Linked DNA regions of Nothobranchius furzeri. The protein of the gene in region 2 interacts with the protein of the main gene of each other region in a biochemical or structural test. Links are inferred from orthologs where the notes say so. Each region holds a gene or a part of one and is shown on either strand. Other genes may lie near its edges. The genes, in order: ctnnbl1, cdc5l, prpf19 and plrg1.

Evidence for each region.
Region 1: the proteins of cdc5l (region 2) and ctnnbl1 form a complex in vitro, tested with the Homo sapiens proteins (3 studies listed by BioGRID and IntAct, with this or other methods). The link is inferred for Nothobranchius furzeri from reciprocal best matches to the Homo sapiens genes CDC5L and CTNNBL1.
Region 3: the proteins of cdc5l (region 2) and prpf19 form a complex in vitro, tested with the Homo sapiens proteins (2 studies listed by BioGRID, with this or other methods). The link is inferred for Nothobranchius furzeri from reciprocal best matches to the Homo sapiens genes CDC5L and PRPF19.
Region 4: the proteins of cdc5l (region 2) and plrg1 form a complex in vitro, tested with the Homo sapiens proteins (3 studies listed by BioGRID, with this or other methods). The link is inferred for Nothobranchius furzeri from reciprocal best matches to the Homo sapiens genes CDC5L and PLRG1.

Annotation. Positions count from the first base shown.
Region 1 is NC_091755.1:51,796,272-51,799,840, forward strand, and holds part of ctnnbl1 (beta-catenin-like protein 1), read right to left. Parts: coding exon 3,555-3,569; intron 3,023-3,554; coding exon 2,950-3,022; intron 2,060-2,949; coding exon 2,001-2,059; intron 791-2,000; coding exon 642-790; intron 1-641. UniProt on the Homo sapiens protein: Component of the PRP19-CDC5L complex that forms an integral part of the spliceosome and is required for activating pre-mRNA splicing.
Region 2 is NC_091752.1:40,109,970-40,113,538, reverse strand, and holds part of cdc5l (cell division cycle 5-like protein), read right to left. Parts: intron 2,931-3,569; coding exon 2,827-2,930; intron 2,470-2,826; coding exon 2,308-2,469; intron 2,200-2,307; coding exon 2,072-2,199; intron 1,912-2,071; coding exon 1,812-1,911; intron 1,706-1,811; coding exon 1,579-1,705; intron 1,473-1,578; coding exon 1,381-1,472; intron 1,304-1,380; coding exon 1,159-1,303; intron 1,069-1,158; coding exon 877-1,068; intron 700-876; coding exon 551-699; intron 1-550.
Region 3 is NC_091741.1:94,861,652-94,865,946, reverse strand, and holds the start of prpf19 (pre-mRNA-processing factor 19), read left to right. Parts: upstream 1-1,494; 5' UTR 1,495-1,627; coding exon 1,628-1,646; intron 1,647-1,840; coding exon 1,841-1,990; intron 1,991-2,504; coding exon 2,505-2,581; intron 2,582-2,867; coding exon 2,868-3,009; intron 3,010-3,150; coding exon 3,151-3,224; intron 3,225-3,310; coding exon 3,311-3,376; intron 3,377-3,472; coding exon 3,473-3,514; intron 3,515-3,619; coding exon 3,620-3,694; intron 3,695-3,780; coding exon 3,781-3,856; intron 3,857-3,956; coding exon 3,957-4,066; intron 4,067-4,155; coding exon 4,156-4,295. Other genes in the region: uncharacterized protein, read left to right, coding at 1-164. UniProt on the Homo sapiens protein: Ubiquitin-protein ligase which is a core component of several complexes mainly involved pre-mRNA splicing and DNA repair. Required for pre-mRNA splicing as component of the spliceosome.
Region 4 is NC_091744.1:17,227,092-17,229,879, reverse strand, and holds part of plrg1 (pleiotropic regulator 1), read left to right. Parts: intron 1-1,051; coding exon 1,052-1,153; intron 1,154-1,579; coding exon 1,580-1,682; intron 1,683-2,073; coding exon 2,074-2,182; intron 2,183-2,788. UniProt on the Homo sapiens protein: Involved in pre-mRNA splicing as component of the spliceosome. Component of the PRP19-CDC5L complex that forms an integral part of the spliceosome and is required for activating pre-mRNA splicing.

The DNA.
Region 1 (3,569 bases), on a different chromosome or scaffold from region 2:
GGTTGGGACTGTGTAAAATGGCAGACTTGACAAGCAGCTGATTTTGAGCCCAGAAGATGTTCCAATGGTAAATTTTGTTGTAAAATAAAGTTATTAGTAGAAATTTGTCCTTATCCTGTACAATTTGTCTCTGAACATAGTGCTGGAACGGGTCAGCAGTGAACCAACATCCCAGCAACTGGAAAATTTGTTCTCTGAACACCAGAGTGTTTGTGTTCCATAGTCAACCTTTAACTGTGTATTACTGTTATTATTGTTGCACTTATAGTAGCATAAGCATATTAATCATTTTGGTTTCAGGTGGTCCTCCAAAACGCTGAACTGTTGGTGTAAACCTTTTATTGTAAAGTGCTTTGGGAAATGTAAAAATCCTAAAGCTGCGACAAAGAGAAAAGGTCAAATAACATTCTGGTATTTAGAGTGATATCTGCTTCAGATAGAAGCGTGTAATATACATTTAAAGTCTGTCAATTTATAGAAGTCCTGAAAAATATGAAACAACAGCTGAAAGCCTGATCTGGGAAACCTTTACCTTTACGGATATGAGGGATGGGATCCCTGGCAAGCTGCGGGATGATTTACGGTTTAGGAAGTCTGTAGTGCATCCCACTCATGGGATTTCTTGTAGATTAAACCTTTACCTGAGCATGAGATTCATTAGCTGAAGCCCTTCTCCTTTGAGGAAGCGATCCCGATTAGAGGGCAGCATGAGGCAGGAACACAGAGCATCAAACAGATTTTCCATCATCTCCTGCTCCTCAGCCGTGTTCGGATTGTGACGTTTGAACACCTGAGAGAAAAGGACAAGGAGTGGGAAGCACTTAGAAAAAAGATGACATGAAGGATTATACCTTTGTCTACTAATTTAGCATCTAATTATGAAATAAAGCTAATTCCAAATAAAAGCCACACTAAACCAAACATTCATCAGTGGTGGGGTTGCTTGCACAGCTTCACGTTAGACAAAATGCGTTGCAGGAGAACAGGCGCCGGGCGTGTTTAGAGCTTAGAAATAAGTTAAATGTTTGAACCACGGATGTGCAATATTATTGGTTTATTATTAATATCGACAGATATTGGCATAAAAAATGTAATACCGGACAATATTGGTATCGGTTTTGACCCAACCTTTTAACTCGTTAACTGCCAGCCGTTTCCTGATCAGAAAAGCCTTTCGCTGCCAGCGGTTTTCAGCATTTTCACAGTTTTTTTAAGAGTCACATAACGTTGCGCGCTAGGATGATGTCAATGCGAAAACTACCAAAACAAAGAGGAGACTCACTTCTTACATCAGGAAGAATCCACGCGTTTCGAGCGTTATCCGTTCTTTCATAATCCGTTGTTGAATTGTGATCGGCAGAAGCTTTTCCGGTTCGCGCCTCACTTTTTTTACAGCAACGTCCGAAAACGATCTCCTAACACATGGATTTTCTGCTTCCTGATCACATGACGTGTGATGTACGCGAATGAAGATCAGCTTTAGAGCTGAGATGTTCGTTCTCATGGTGCGGGGGCTCGTTCCGACGCCCACACAGTAAATAAATGCAAATGGTGACTTTAGTCGTCATTGGCGGTGAATGAGTTAATAACATCCACATAATATACATCAAATTCTTCAGCTACTTATTCTCTCTCTCAAAATGTTAAAATATGACAGATCTGAGGTAAGGTTATTGACATATTTTAGTTTTTTTGACACAATTTGAGAAGTAGAAATTTGCCCTGTGTGGTGAACGTACACCGTCCTGCACCTGGCAATGTGTAGCTAGACGGCTAACAAACGACTAATGGGAGATATGTGATGTGTTAGTAACCTAAAATATTTCAGTTTTTCTTTTTTATGAGGGAGGGGCATAAAATTAATCAGTATGTTTAAATTGGTATTGGAAATTAAGAGTCAGACAATATCGGTGTGTCTGATATTGGTAAAAAAAACAAAAAGAAAATATCGAGCATCCCTAGTTTGAATACAAGTGAGAGAAAAAAATAAAAGTTCTTACAGATAACTGCTGCAGTAGCACATCAATACCATCCATTTCACCCAGCAGTTCTCTGGTACCTGTAAAGAAAGAGAAAATAAAAAGACAACAAGGTGAATGAAAAGGAGGCAGAAATGAGTTCACAAGATTCCGATTATAAAAATGAGCATTTAAACAAAAATGATTTGTGCTAAACCTAAATCAATTACTTTAACAAAATAATGACTAAGGAAATAAGATGGGACAATTTAAAGGCATCGGGAGCTTCCACACTAACGCCTCTGCTGTTTTATATGATATCTTTTAGATTTTTGTTTTTATTGAAGTCTAATAAAAATAAGTAGATGCAAATTAGGACATCAGGAATGTTGCCTATGTTGTTATAATTTCCCATTTTATGTGGCTATATATATATATATATATATATATATATATATATATATATATATATATATATATATATATATATATATTAAACAGGATAGTACTCAAGACAGCATGTGTCCTTGTTTTGGCAAAACATAGTTTTGTATAAATTTTTCATTTTGAAATGCAAAAGAGAGAGAGAGTTATAATGGAGGCAGCACAAGAGAAGAGTGGGGAAATAGGTGCGAAATGAGAAATGACTTCAGCTGCATACCAATGTGATTTGTACCATTAATGAGAACTAGCCCAAGGCCCTGGTCGTCCTGTGGCTCTGATTTTACTGCCTTTCTTTTTTGTGAGGGAGGGAAAGGATGAAGACGACTGCACATAAACCAACAGAGATGGCGTGGAAAGTAACTTAAAAAGGAGGAACATTTTAGAGAGGGAGAGGACGACAAGGAAAATATTTTAACAAGTTCAATGAGAGAAATGTAACTAAGACAGAATGGAGGGTTGAAGTCAATTTAGGGTGAACAGGCGGAAAAAAGATGGAAGATAAATAAATAATTTAGAACACGTCAACAATTTACTGAGATACACTTACTGTCATTATTTTGCAGCAGAATGGCTAGAATTTCACTGCAGTACAGCTTGTTAGCATCAAACGGCATCTTTGCCTGAGAGGGAAGGAGAGCGAAGTCTAATTACCACTCCTCTTGAGAAACTCTGTTCTCCAGAGGATTACAAAATCACTATGTATTCTACAGGAAAATCTGCATTTTCTAACCTCAAGCAGAGACCTGCTTTATGCAGATTCTGTCTCACACAGTGTATAATACTGCACATCATTTCTGAACATATTTATAACCTCATTTATTTTATTCAAAACAACCCAAAAGAGGGAAAACACAGAAATTAATTCCCGCAGATGGTGTGATTCCAAACTAAACCAGACGTTTTTTTTTTAGATAAATATGAAACTAGATTTTTGTTTTTGTTACAGACAAACCTACAGTAGTTATAAGGTTTGCTCTATAACATCCCTGTCACAAAATCTCAGAATAAACATTTATCCTATACAAGTACAGCAGTTAAACAGAAAAAAACAAATCATCAAACCCGGCATGACTGAGAACATACCAGAAGTTTTATGTACTCAGAGATATCATCTTATTAGCTGGTATTCATTTCACGAGTCCTGGGTCTTACCTTGATTCTCTTGAG
Region 2 (3,569 bases):
TTGCCCTTAAGCTGTTTAACTTGGACCAAGCATTTTAGGTCACAGATAGATGTAGCTTAGGGTCTCTGTCTATACACCTTATAAGACAATTTAGGTGATGGCATGTTGTTTTTCTGCTACTGAACTGTTTTCTAATAATGTTGTGTTAAATAAAGTGAAGGAAGGAGAGAAATAACATTTCCCTAGCAGTTTTTAAAAATTTCCCCATGTAATCCGATTAATCGATTAATCGTGTCGAGACCCCATCCGATTAATCGATTATCCAAATAATCGTTTGTTGCAGCCCTATTTCCAACAGAAACTCAATTTGAACCAAGAGGGGTTATAACCAGTCTGCTGCACCAGAAGCTAAAGCAACATTAAAACAGGCTACTTAAGCCTTTCTGGTTTAATTACACGAGCAAAAGATTTATGAATCAGCTGATGTTTACAAAACACAAGCTTTGTTGTTTTGGCAAAGCTGGAAGAATAGTTTTAATGAACACATTTTTCTGTAACTAAAGTTAAAAGCTTTGATGCACCATAACAAGACAGGAGAGTGAGATCATACCTGAACGGTGTACTGAGAACAGTGTTTGGTGTTTGGACCTGCTGCCTCTGAGGCGTCACGCCGCTGAAGTCACTCTCGTGCAGCGGGGTGTTGAGACCCCCCTTCAGCGGCGTGTCTATGTTGGTCAGAGCCATCAGGTTCTGGGCTTCCTACAGAACAGAAGCACAAAAACACATGAATATAAACAGAGAAGAAAGCTTCTGCTTGGTTAATTTAAATGAGAGAAAATAAAAAATACAAGTAAATAAAGACCACAAAACAACTGATTTGTACAAAATACCAGAAAACTTAGATGAAGTGAGAAAGTCATTGTGTTTGTGGTCAACCTGCAGGATCCTGTCCTGTGCAGCAGGGGTGCGTGGGGTTCGTAGTCCAGTTGTCATGTTGTTGGTGATGCTGTACTCAGACAGGAGGGTGGAGGAAGCAGAGTTCCCACCTTCGCTTTCCTCAGCAGCCTGGCGGGCGACCTCACTTGCCACTCCCAGTTTCACGACCTCCTCTAACTCCGCATCACTGATCTGAAACCAGAGGAAGGACAGACAAACATCGCTGATCTGTTAGGACCAGATGCATCCGAGCTCAGACACTGCTGTGATCCTGGAGCATACCTGTGGGGCGGGTAACACCAGTTTGGAGCGCTTCTTGGTGAACTCTGCCACTCCGCTAGTCTGCAGGATAGCTGATGGCAGATCGCTCTCTTTCTTCTTCTTCATCTTCTGTTTATCTTTCTTTCGGTCCCTCTCCTCAGACTCGCTACATGTAAACAACTGATTAAGTGAGAACTCCAGATTCAGTTGATGCATAAAAGCAGAGTGTGTGTTGTTACTGACTTGCGTAGCTCCCCGTCCAAGTGCTGCTGCCTGAGTCGTTTAAAGTGTGGCTCCAGGGCATCGTACTGCTCCATGCTGGTGTCATAGAAACCCTAACAGGAAACAAAAATAATTTACAATCCAACTCACAGTCTGACGTTGGTGACACTGGGCTGTAGCTTAAATAATGAATGAATAAATATTAGCATCAATAGTTACTGGTGCAGGTTTCTTTTCAAAGGGGATTTCAGCATTGTAGTCCACTCCTCTCTTCTTCTTTCTCTTCTTCTGAACGTGGATTCCTGCTGCTCTCAGCTCTCTGCGTTTCTGCAGAGCAGCCAGGCGCCTGCAGCAGAATGAGAGTAAAACAAAGGACAAATATTTGTTTGTTATGCACTGATGGATTTCAGGGCTACCCCTGAATGGATGTTAATGGATGGAATTGGCCATACCTGGCTTCCTCCAGCTGTTTCTCTCTGGCCTTCCTCTTGGCTTTTTTGCCCTGCGTGTTGGCCAGACGAGCTCTGGCTTCTGACAACATCTCCAGCTCATCTACAAAGACAAAAACACAGTCGTGTGTATGTTTCTATTGCTGCTAATCGGACCCACTTATTAGCACAGAAACCAACGTTCCTAAAAGAGATGAGAGGAATAATGCTGCAGAACAAAAACTTATTTTGTGCTTGTGAAAGAATGAAGTGTGTGATTTCACCTTCATCCATGTCCACGGGGTCAGGTCTGGCAGGTTTAGTCTCAGGGTTTGGGTCGATCTCTCCTGGTTTCAGCTTCCTGGGATCATCTCCCACCTCTTCCTCGTTGTCTCTCTGTGCTGCTTTATCTCTAAATGAAGACAAAAGCACATCTGTCACCCTGACCTGTAAATTGCCATAAATGCAAAGTTCCTCTCTGGTAGCAAAGAGCAAATGAGTGTAAAAATTGAAACTGTACAGCAGGTATTCATAGTGCTCTAGACACTGGGCAGCAGTGCGCCCAATGATGGGAGCAATGGTCCTCCACTGAGTCGGCATCAGCTTGGCCAAGTGAAGCAACTTCTCCTCCTCTTCTCTGGACCACTCTGTTTTTTTGATACTGGGGTCCAACCACTCGTACCTGCAAACAGAAACACCGTCGACGAGTGATTCAGGTAGTCGGACTGAACACACCTACAACAGAAAAGTATGTTTATGTTTACTTATTTGGCAGACGCCTTTATCCAAAACGACGTACAACGTATAACCTATAGGGCATGTTGTGATGTGTGGGGGAACCGGAGTACCCGGAGGAAACCCACGCATGCATGATGAGAACATGCAACTCCACGCAAAAAGGTCACAGCCGAGTTTCGAACCTGCAACCTTCTTGCTGCGAGGCAACAGTGCTAACAACTGCATCACCATGCAGCCCAAAAAAGTAGTTAACCTTTGTAATGGTCGGTGTCGTGTCCCGGTAGAAAGGCTACAAACTCACCATCTGGCTTTACACTGTTTGGCAGATTTGCGGTGAAGCAGGGAGGCGATACGAGACCACTGGTTCTTCCCATATTTCATCACCGCTGCCTTGAGGATCTCATCCTGAAAAAATTAGGGTAAAAAAAGCAAACAGGCAGAAAGACAAAGTTAGAACTTACATATATTAAAACTAACAAATAATTAACATAAAACATAATAATCATATTAAAGTCATTAAGTTGACTCAGAGCTGCAGCTGTTAGCCTGCACCCACCCCCCAGAGTTCTGGACTTTCTCACGTGGGTCGGAGCATTATCCTCTGTTTCTGCAGTTTTTACTTGGATGACACAGTGAAGAAAACACAGAAAATGTTCGCTATATAAATGCAAGCTCGTGTGTTTTTCTGCTTAGTGTGTAATCTGTGATCAGAAACAGCAGAGACGTGTTCTGACTAGAGACTACTTTTAATCTGTATGGTTCATTTCCACGTAAAATCTAACATCAGCTAGCCTGGCAAGCCAGACTAAATAAATGTATTATTTAGTCTGGCCATGCTCCATTGACGGCTCTCGGTTGTGGGGCGGGTTCTACCGTTGTCTTTCAAATGATCTCCGCATTCCACTGGACAATGAATGTGACATACTCTTGTTTCACTCTGTTGCATCATCCCACCCACCAGGCATATCGAGTGCCCTGATTGGCCCACAAAGCGGATAAAGCTCTGTGATTTGTTCACTAAGCAGATAGAGCACTATGATTGGC
Region 3 (4,295 bases), on a different chromosome or scaffold from region 2:
ACTGCCTCCATTCCTGCGAGGACTGTGTCCAGTTCCAGATCAAGAAAGACGGAGATGAGGAAAGGTGGAGCAAATCCAACAACTTATTTTCCGCGCTGCCTCTAGATACGGACACTTCTGAATCTTGCAGTGTTTACACATCAAATAAACTGGACTTTCTATAAAAACGGAGGCTAGGATGAGATGAGAAGTGAAGCTTGAGGCATGGAAATATTACAGTAGATGATTCTAAGCTGACATGAACAATCTCATGTGCACCAGTTTGCACACTTTTAATTCTTGGGTTTGTACTGAGTTTTGAACCACGGGTTGAGCGTTACCCTTCATGTCACACATTGCACTATGGTGCTCATGAAATCTCCTGCTGTTACCTACCTCCAGACCCTCAGGACCAACATGATCTGCACTGTCTTTGCCGGGTGTCTCAAGTGTTCATTGGCCTTCTATGATCCCTAGGTCTGCATAAACGTCAACATAGTTACTCTAAGGTTTGCAAGAGAAAATTATTAAAATGCCACATTATTATAGCATAAACTAAAGTGCATAATCATCCTGTTCATTCCTGACTGCTGCAAAAAATATTATAAATATCTGTCTTGCAGTTAAAGTTATTTTGCAGGTGTAGTGTTATTACCCTCTAGACAATTGTAGAAATGTAACCTATTATAGGGCAACAGCCTGTAAATCTGGGAACATATTATAGCATCACTAATGTAATTCATTATTGACTATCAGAAGGTTGTCTCTAAAACAATAAAATGTATATTTAACACAAACGCCTCATATTATCTATTCTTTGACTATAGAGAAATCTGCTTGAGCATGGGTCTGCATTCTTTACAATCCAAACGGCCGTTTTTCTCTCAGTCCATCCCAATAATTGTTCAGAGCCTCAACTGTTAGAGGACGTTCAGGAAAAACGCCATTTATGATAAAAATCTATGTTGGAGGTTTAACGTAGAGGAAAGTTATCTTCTTTTTTTTTTTTTTTTTTTTGCTCAGATGTCTTGACATTAATGGGAGAATTCTGAGATTAAAGCAAGAAATATTTGTGCCTTCTTCAATAAGGAACTATTAGATTTGCTGTCATTTAAAAATATCCAACATTTGTTTCCATTAGTCAATTTTAAAATGATAAAAAAAATACTTTGGCAAACGTAGAATGGAGATTTTTCTCTGGGATGTTGATATTTGTGGAAAATTATGTCAAATGGTAATTGTAGTTTCATTTTGATGTGGATATTCAATGTAGTTATTCCATAAAACCCGAAAAGCTGCTTTAACCAACAATTTTTAATATGTCTATGTTAAAAATGTGCTTTTTAAAATAATTTTTATCTAAAGAGCCACTTGCACTGCTGGTTGCAGACCCCTGTAAGATTTTCAAGAGTGCAGTGGTGTGTTTTAAGCGGTGGAGGGCAGTGCAGACTGAAATGAGTGCGGTTTGATTGTTGGCGGAAACCAGCGACGAAGAAAAAGGAAGCAGTTCCTTTATAGCGGCAATGAAAGGACAGCGTGCTATCTCCAGTTTGAACTAAATATAAGTGTTCACAAGCGGGGGGAAATTCAAGACGCCAAAAAACACAGTCTACGTTTAGGAGGGCACTGTTAGGACTGCGTTTGGAACATGTCTTTGGTTTGTGCAAGTAAGTGAAGATGAAAATTTGCAGGACGGCGCCTGTGAGTTAGCTCGGTATCATGCTAATGCTACAAGCTAATGAAGCTAACATTAGCGGCCACGCAAACCGTATTTAACTTCAGTTTCCCTCCATTCTCTTTTTTTTCTTTGTTTTTACTGAGTTGTGAGCGTTATGCGCCCTCTCCTTTTGTTTGTTTGTAGTTTGCAACGAGGTGCCGGAGCACCCGTGCATCTCCCCGGTGTCCAATCATGTGTTTGAGCGGAGGCTGATAGAGAAGTACATCGCCGAGAATGGGACGGACCCGATGAACGGACAGCCGCTGTCCGAGGAGCAGCTAGTGGACATCAAAGGTGAACTACACCCTCGATTTGACTTTATTTAAGTTTGATTAACTTGATATTTTTGGACACTACGAATGAATTAATGAGTAAACGACGAGTTTGAAATTCGCATTGTATTAAAGCCTGTTTAACATGATAAACATGAAATGCTGAGTTATTCACACTGAAGTGGTTGTTTGGGACAGATTATTTAACCTAAGGCTAACCGATTATTAATCCAGGCATCAAAAGGGATCAAAATTAAAAATACAGTTTATTATAATAAAGGTAAATAACTAAACTTTTTGTCTTGCGTCGTTTTTAACTGAAATGATCATGGCCATCTGATCTTTCATTTATTTTATTTTTAATTGAGTCGTAATTTTAAAATAATGGTTTTAATTTATTATTAGTAACACTCTGATAAGTCTGGGCCTTTCAATAAACTGTACCAGTTCAATCCAGTTGCACACTGAAATAACATATTTAACTTAAAAAGGTTTGACTGAATTTTTCCTGGTTTGGAAAATGTCTTCCCGCTTAGTGACCCACCCCATCAGACCAAAGGCGCCATCAGCAACAAGCATCCCAGCTATTCTCAAGTCTCTTCAAGATGAGTGGGTGAGTGATGGAAACGGTCAGGAGGACACTCGTCCACCTCACACCTGTGTGTTATTGTTGACTATTTAGAACAGGAATCACCCTTTTATTTTTCACACAACAGCTGCTATTTGAACAAAAATAAATCTGAAAACTCGTCAAACACATAGATCAACATATGACACTTTTACGTAACTTTTGAAGTAATTTTGGGGTTTGTAAGCTCAAGTATTAAAGACATTGCTGTCATTTCTAATAAATTAATTTCAAATCTCAGGAAGAGTTGTTTTTTTTATGCGTCCTACAGGATGCCGTCATGCTTCACAGCTTCACCTTGCGGCAGCAACTGCAGACTACTCGCCAGGAACTCTCTCACGCCCTTTATCAACACGACGCAGCCTGCAGAGTCATCGCTCGACTCAACAAGGAGGTCACGGCTGCAAGAGAAGGTCTGTATGTCCTAAGAAGACACATCTTGGTGTTTCTAAAATGTTAATAGCCACTTGGCGTGTTATTTCAAAGGTTTATTTGTTAAATGGGAACATAAGCACGTTTAAAATGTCCTAAATGTGTTTATTTTGTTTTTGCAGCTCTGGCCACACTTAAACCTCAAGCTGGACTGGTGACCCCTCAGGCCGCCCCCGCCTCTCAGCCTGCTGCAGCAGTGAGTGACCCATGCCTAACTGTTTTAACCCTCAGCTCTTGGTAGTTTTAGTCCTCTTGTATAAAATATTCACATTTGTATTGCAGGGTGCTGGTGGAGAGCCTATGGAGATCAGTGAACAGGTGGGAATGACTCCAGAGATCATCCAGAAGGTAAAACACTTTTTTTATGTCCACAGAATTTTATTATTTTATTATAAGCTCATATTTCATTTTATTTAAACAATTTAATCTGTTTGATCATTCCAGCTGCAAGACAAGGCTACTATTCTCACCACAGAGAGGAAAAAGGTTTGTAGCATTTTTTCCTTGTTATAGTTATAACTTCCAACGGAAGGTAAAGTTTTTATATCTTGTGATTGTGTGTGATTTAAAAAGTTCCTTGTGCTTCTGTAGAGGGGAAAAACTGTTCCAGAGGAGCTGGTTAGAGCCGAGGATCTCAGCAAGTACCGCCAAGTGGCCTCCCACGCTGTAAGTGCAGAACCAGGATGATGAAGATGGTCCTATAAACGACTGAATGTGCTTCATCTGGTGGACTTGTTTCCTGTTTGCTTCAGGGTCTTCACAGCGCCAGTGTGCCTGGTATTCTGTCCCTGGACGTGTGTCCCTCAGACACCAGCAAAGTGCTCACTGGTACTCTGAGCTTAACTCTGTCCTATTTGATTTGGCGTTGTGTCGAATCACCCGCTCGGGGCCGATTTAGTCCAACGCTGACTGTGTTGTCGTCCTCCAGGTGGAGCTGATAAGAGTGTGGTGGTGTTTGACAAGAACGAGGAGCAGATTGTGGCGACTCTTAAAGGCCACACCAAAAAGGTCACCTCTGTCATTTTCCATCCATCTCAGGTGAGTCTTTGTCCGTTGGGGGTCTTTTATTGATAACTGAAGGAACGTGCCAGGTGTGATCCTTCTCTCTGACGTGTTCTCCCCTCTAGTCTATGGTCTTCTCTGCCTCTCCTGATGCCACCATCCGTGTGTGGTCTGTTACCGGGGGCAACTGCATCCAGGTGGTGCGTGCCCACGAAGCCAGCGTCACCGGTCTGTCCCTTCATGCTACTGGAGACTACCTGCTCAG
Region 4 (2,788 bases), on a different chromosome or scaffold from region 2:
TAAATGGACGATAACTACAGGTTTGCGCAGAAACAAAAGTTGTCCACTAGATGGGGCTGTCACATGTACCACCTTAACTCACACTTTTACGTGACTCAAGGTGGAACAGCTTCTTAAAGGGACATGAATGTTGCCGACCTACACATATTTTCATTTTTATTATCAAATTACTTGACATGGGAACAATGATCTCGATAAGAGTCAGAAATTTCTTTAACGATAAATTTTCGATTTATTGCCCAGCTCTATGTTGAAGCATCAGTTTTACGGTATTTGAGGGCATTTTTTTCCCCACGCTACACTCCACATAAACCCTGAGTCGGTCTGAACCAAAAAGCACCTGCTACGAACAGGTTGTTTGCTAGGCTACATCTGTTAGCAAGACAAACATCAGAGTAATGAAAGCATTTAGAATTGTATACATTATACATTAAAGTATATTGGTAATGGCCAGCATGACATGTTGACCACTTACAGGTTTCGAAAGATTGTACATAAAAAAAAAGGCGTAGTCTTTGCTGTGAATCGGTCCAGGCAGCCGCCAATTCTTCCTGGTGCACTAGTCCAACCCCAAAGCCTTGGCAGCCAATCAGCAGAGAGCTGAACAAACCGAAGCTAGCCTGGCCTTAACCAAAAGTGCCCAAAACACAATATCGGTGTGAAACTGCATGTAGACAACATGTTCTGTGTTTTTAGTGCATTAACAACGCAGATTTATGACAGACAAACATAAGTTTTAGTCCTGCTACCTCTTCTAGCTTCACACTTAGCATGCTAAATGTTTACTTTACTTTGGTGTGACTGTGGAGCAGTTAATTTGGTCCCCCGCTGAAACACTTTCCCACATTCCAGACCTTGTCTGAGCTATTCACCATGTCAGCAGCATATGAAAGATTAACATCATAACAGAAACACACACCGGTTTCTAGTACAGACCTGTGTACCACAGGCATATTTACTACTCTATTTAATCTAAAATAACTTGGTTTTGTGTATTTATAGCAGTTGTGGTATTTTTACAGCCTCACGACAGCATTGGTTTGTCTTCCAGGTAATCAGGCACTACCATGGCCACCTCAGTGCTGTGTATGATTTGGATCTACATCCAACCATCGATGTGCTTGTGACATGCAGCCGAGACGCCTCAGCGAGGGTGAGTTTAGTTTGGGCTGTGTTGGAGCTTGATGGGAAATGTGGGTGTAGAGGTGGCGACTGCATGAAGAGGTGGAAGAGAACGTCTCTGAAATACACAAACACACAATACAAACACAAACTACAGTTAATATGCTATCCTGGACCAGAGATGTGACTGCAGTGGTGGTGCGACGCCCTCTGTTGTCCTGGCAGGGAATCGCTTTGCAACTCTCCCCAGTGAAAACGTCGCTGTCAGTGCGTGTGTGCCGCTCTGCACCCGAGCTGAGGAGGAGGAAAACATCAGTGATGTGTAACCTAGAGATGAAAGGGAATGTGTGTGTTGTTTTAAACCATGAGACCAATATGGTTCTAGTTTGGTGGGATTAGGCCTCTGTCTTGTTTAATCCCAATCCTGACTGGGACTGGATTTTCTTTGTGCTTTTAGGTGTGGGACATCAGGTCAAAAGCAAACGTGCACACACTTACTGGTCATACCAACACGGTGGCTACAGTCAGATGTCAGGCTGTAGAGCCACAGATCATCACTGGTGAGTAGATTTGAAGCCAATAACAGTGATTATGGCTGCTCCACTTGGGGGGGGGGGGCTTGGTCTCCATTGTGTTTGTTATTGGTGAAATCATTATTTAACTTGATGACTTGTTGACTTGGGGAAACACTCCACCATGAATGCTGTGGTGCACCTTATCAAAATAAGAGCCCGAGTGATGCACGAGATTAATTTTTATACACTATATTATAAATCACTTCAGAAGTCTTTTATTCATTTTGATTTAAAGGAACACAGATTCTGTGGTAGAGCTGATCTAAAGTGTCAAGAGTTCAGGTTTTAAGCAGGCAGTTTCATGTTTGCAGGTGACAAAACTGTGTGTGTGTGTGTGTGTGTGTGTGTGTGTGTGTGTGTGTGTGTGTGTGTGTAGGCAGTCACGATGCAACCATCAGGCTTTGGGATCTGATCGCTGGGAAGACCAGAGCAACTCTGACAAACCACAAGAAATCTGTCCGAACTCTGGTGCTGCACCCCAGACAGTAAGTCCTCACGTTAGCCAATTGATTGGCTTTATTGAGTTTAAATTTTTGTTTGACTACAGATTTAATTTGGTGATATTCTAAAAAGCTATTCTTATCCATTCCAAATTGGGAGACTATTCTATTAAATGGGATGAAGTCCAGTCCTTCATATATGTGTTCCAGGTATAGGATCCCTTTATTTTTCCAGTCCGGAAGGTTCATCATTTTGTTATTTTGCAAAATATCAGGATTTTTCCAGATAGGTGTGCGTCTGCATGGTACTAGTGTAGACTCTGTCATTTTAAGATACTCCCACCATGCTGTCAGAGAGGTGATGATACTAATACTTTTGAAGCCTTCATGTTTTCTTATGCTTGAGCTAATAAATGGTAAGTCTGAAAGCTCTATCGTATTGCAAAGTGTCTGTTCCATATCTAACCAGGACTCATCTAGTGGGTTATCTTGCAACCATCTTGGTATATATTGCAGCCTGTTGGCTAAGAAAAATAATAAAAGTTGGGTAGATCCAGTCCTCTTCTATCTTTGGTCTTCTGAAGCGTTTTTAAGCTAATTCGTGGAGGTTTATCCTGCCAAAGGAATTTAGTAATTGAGGAGTCCAGAGAT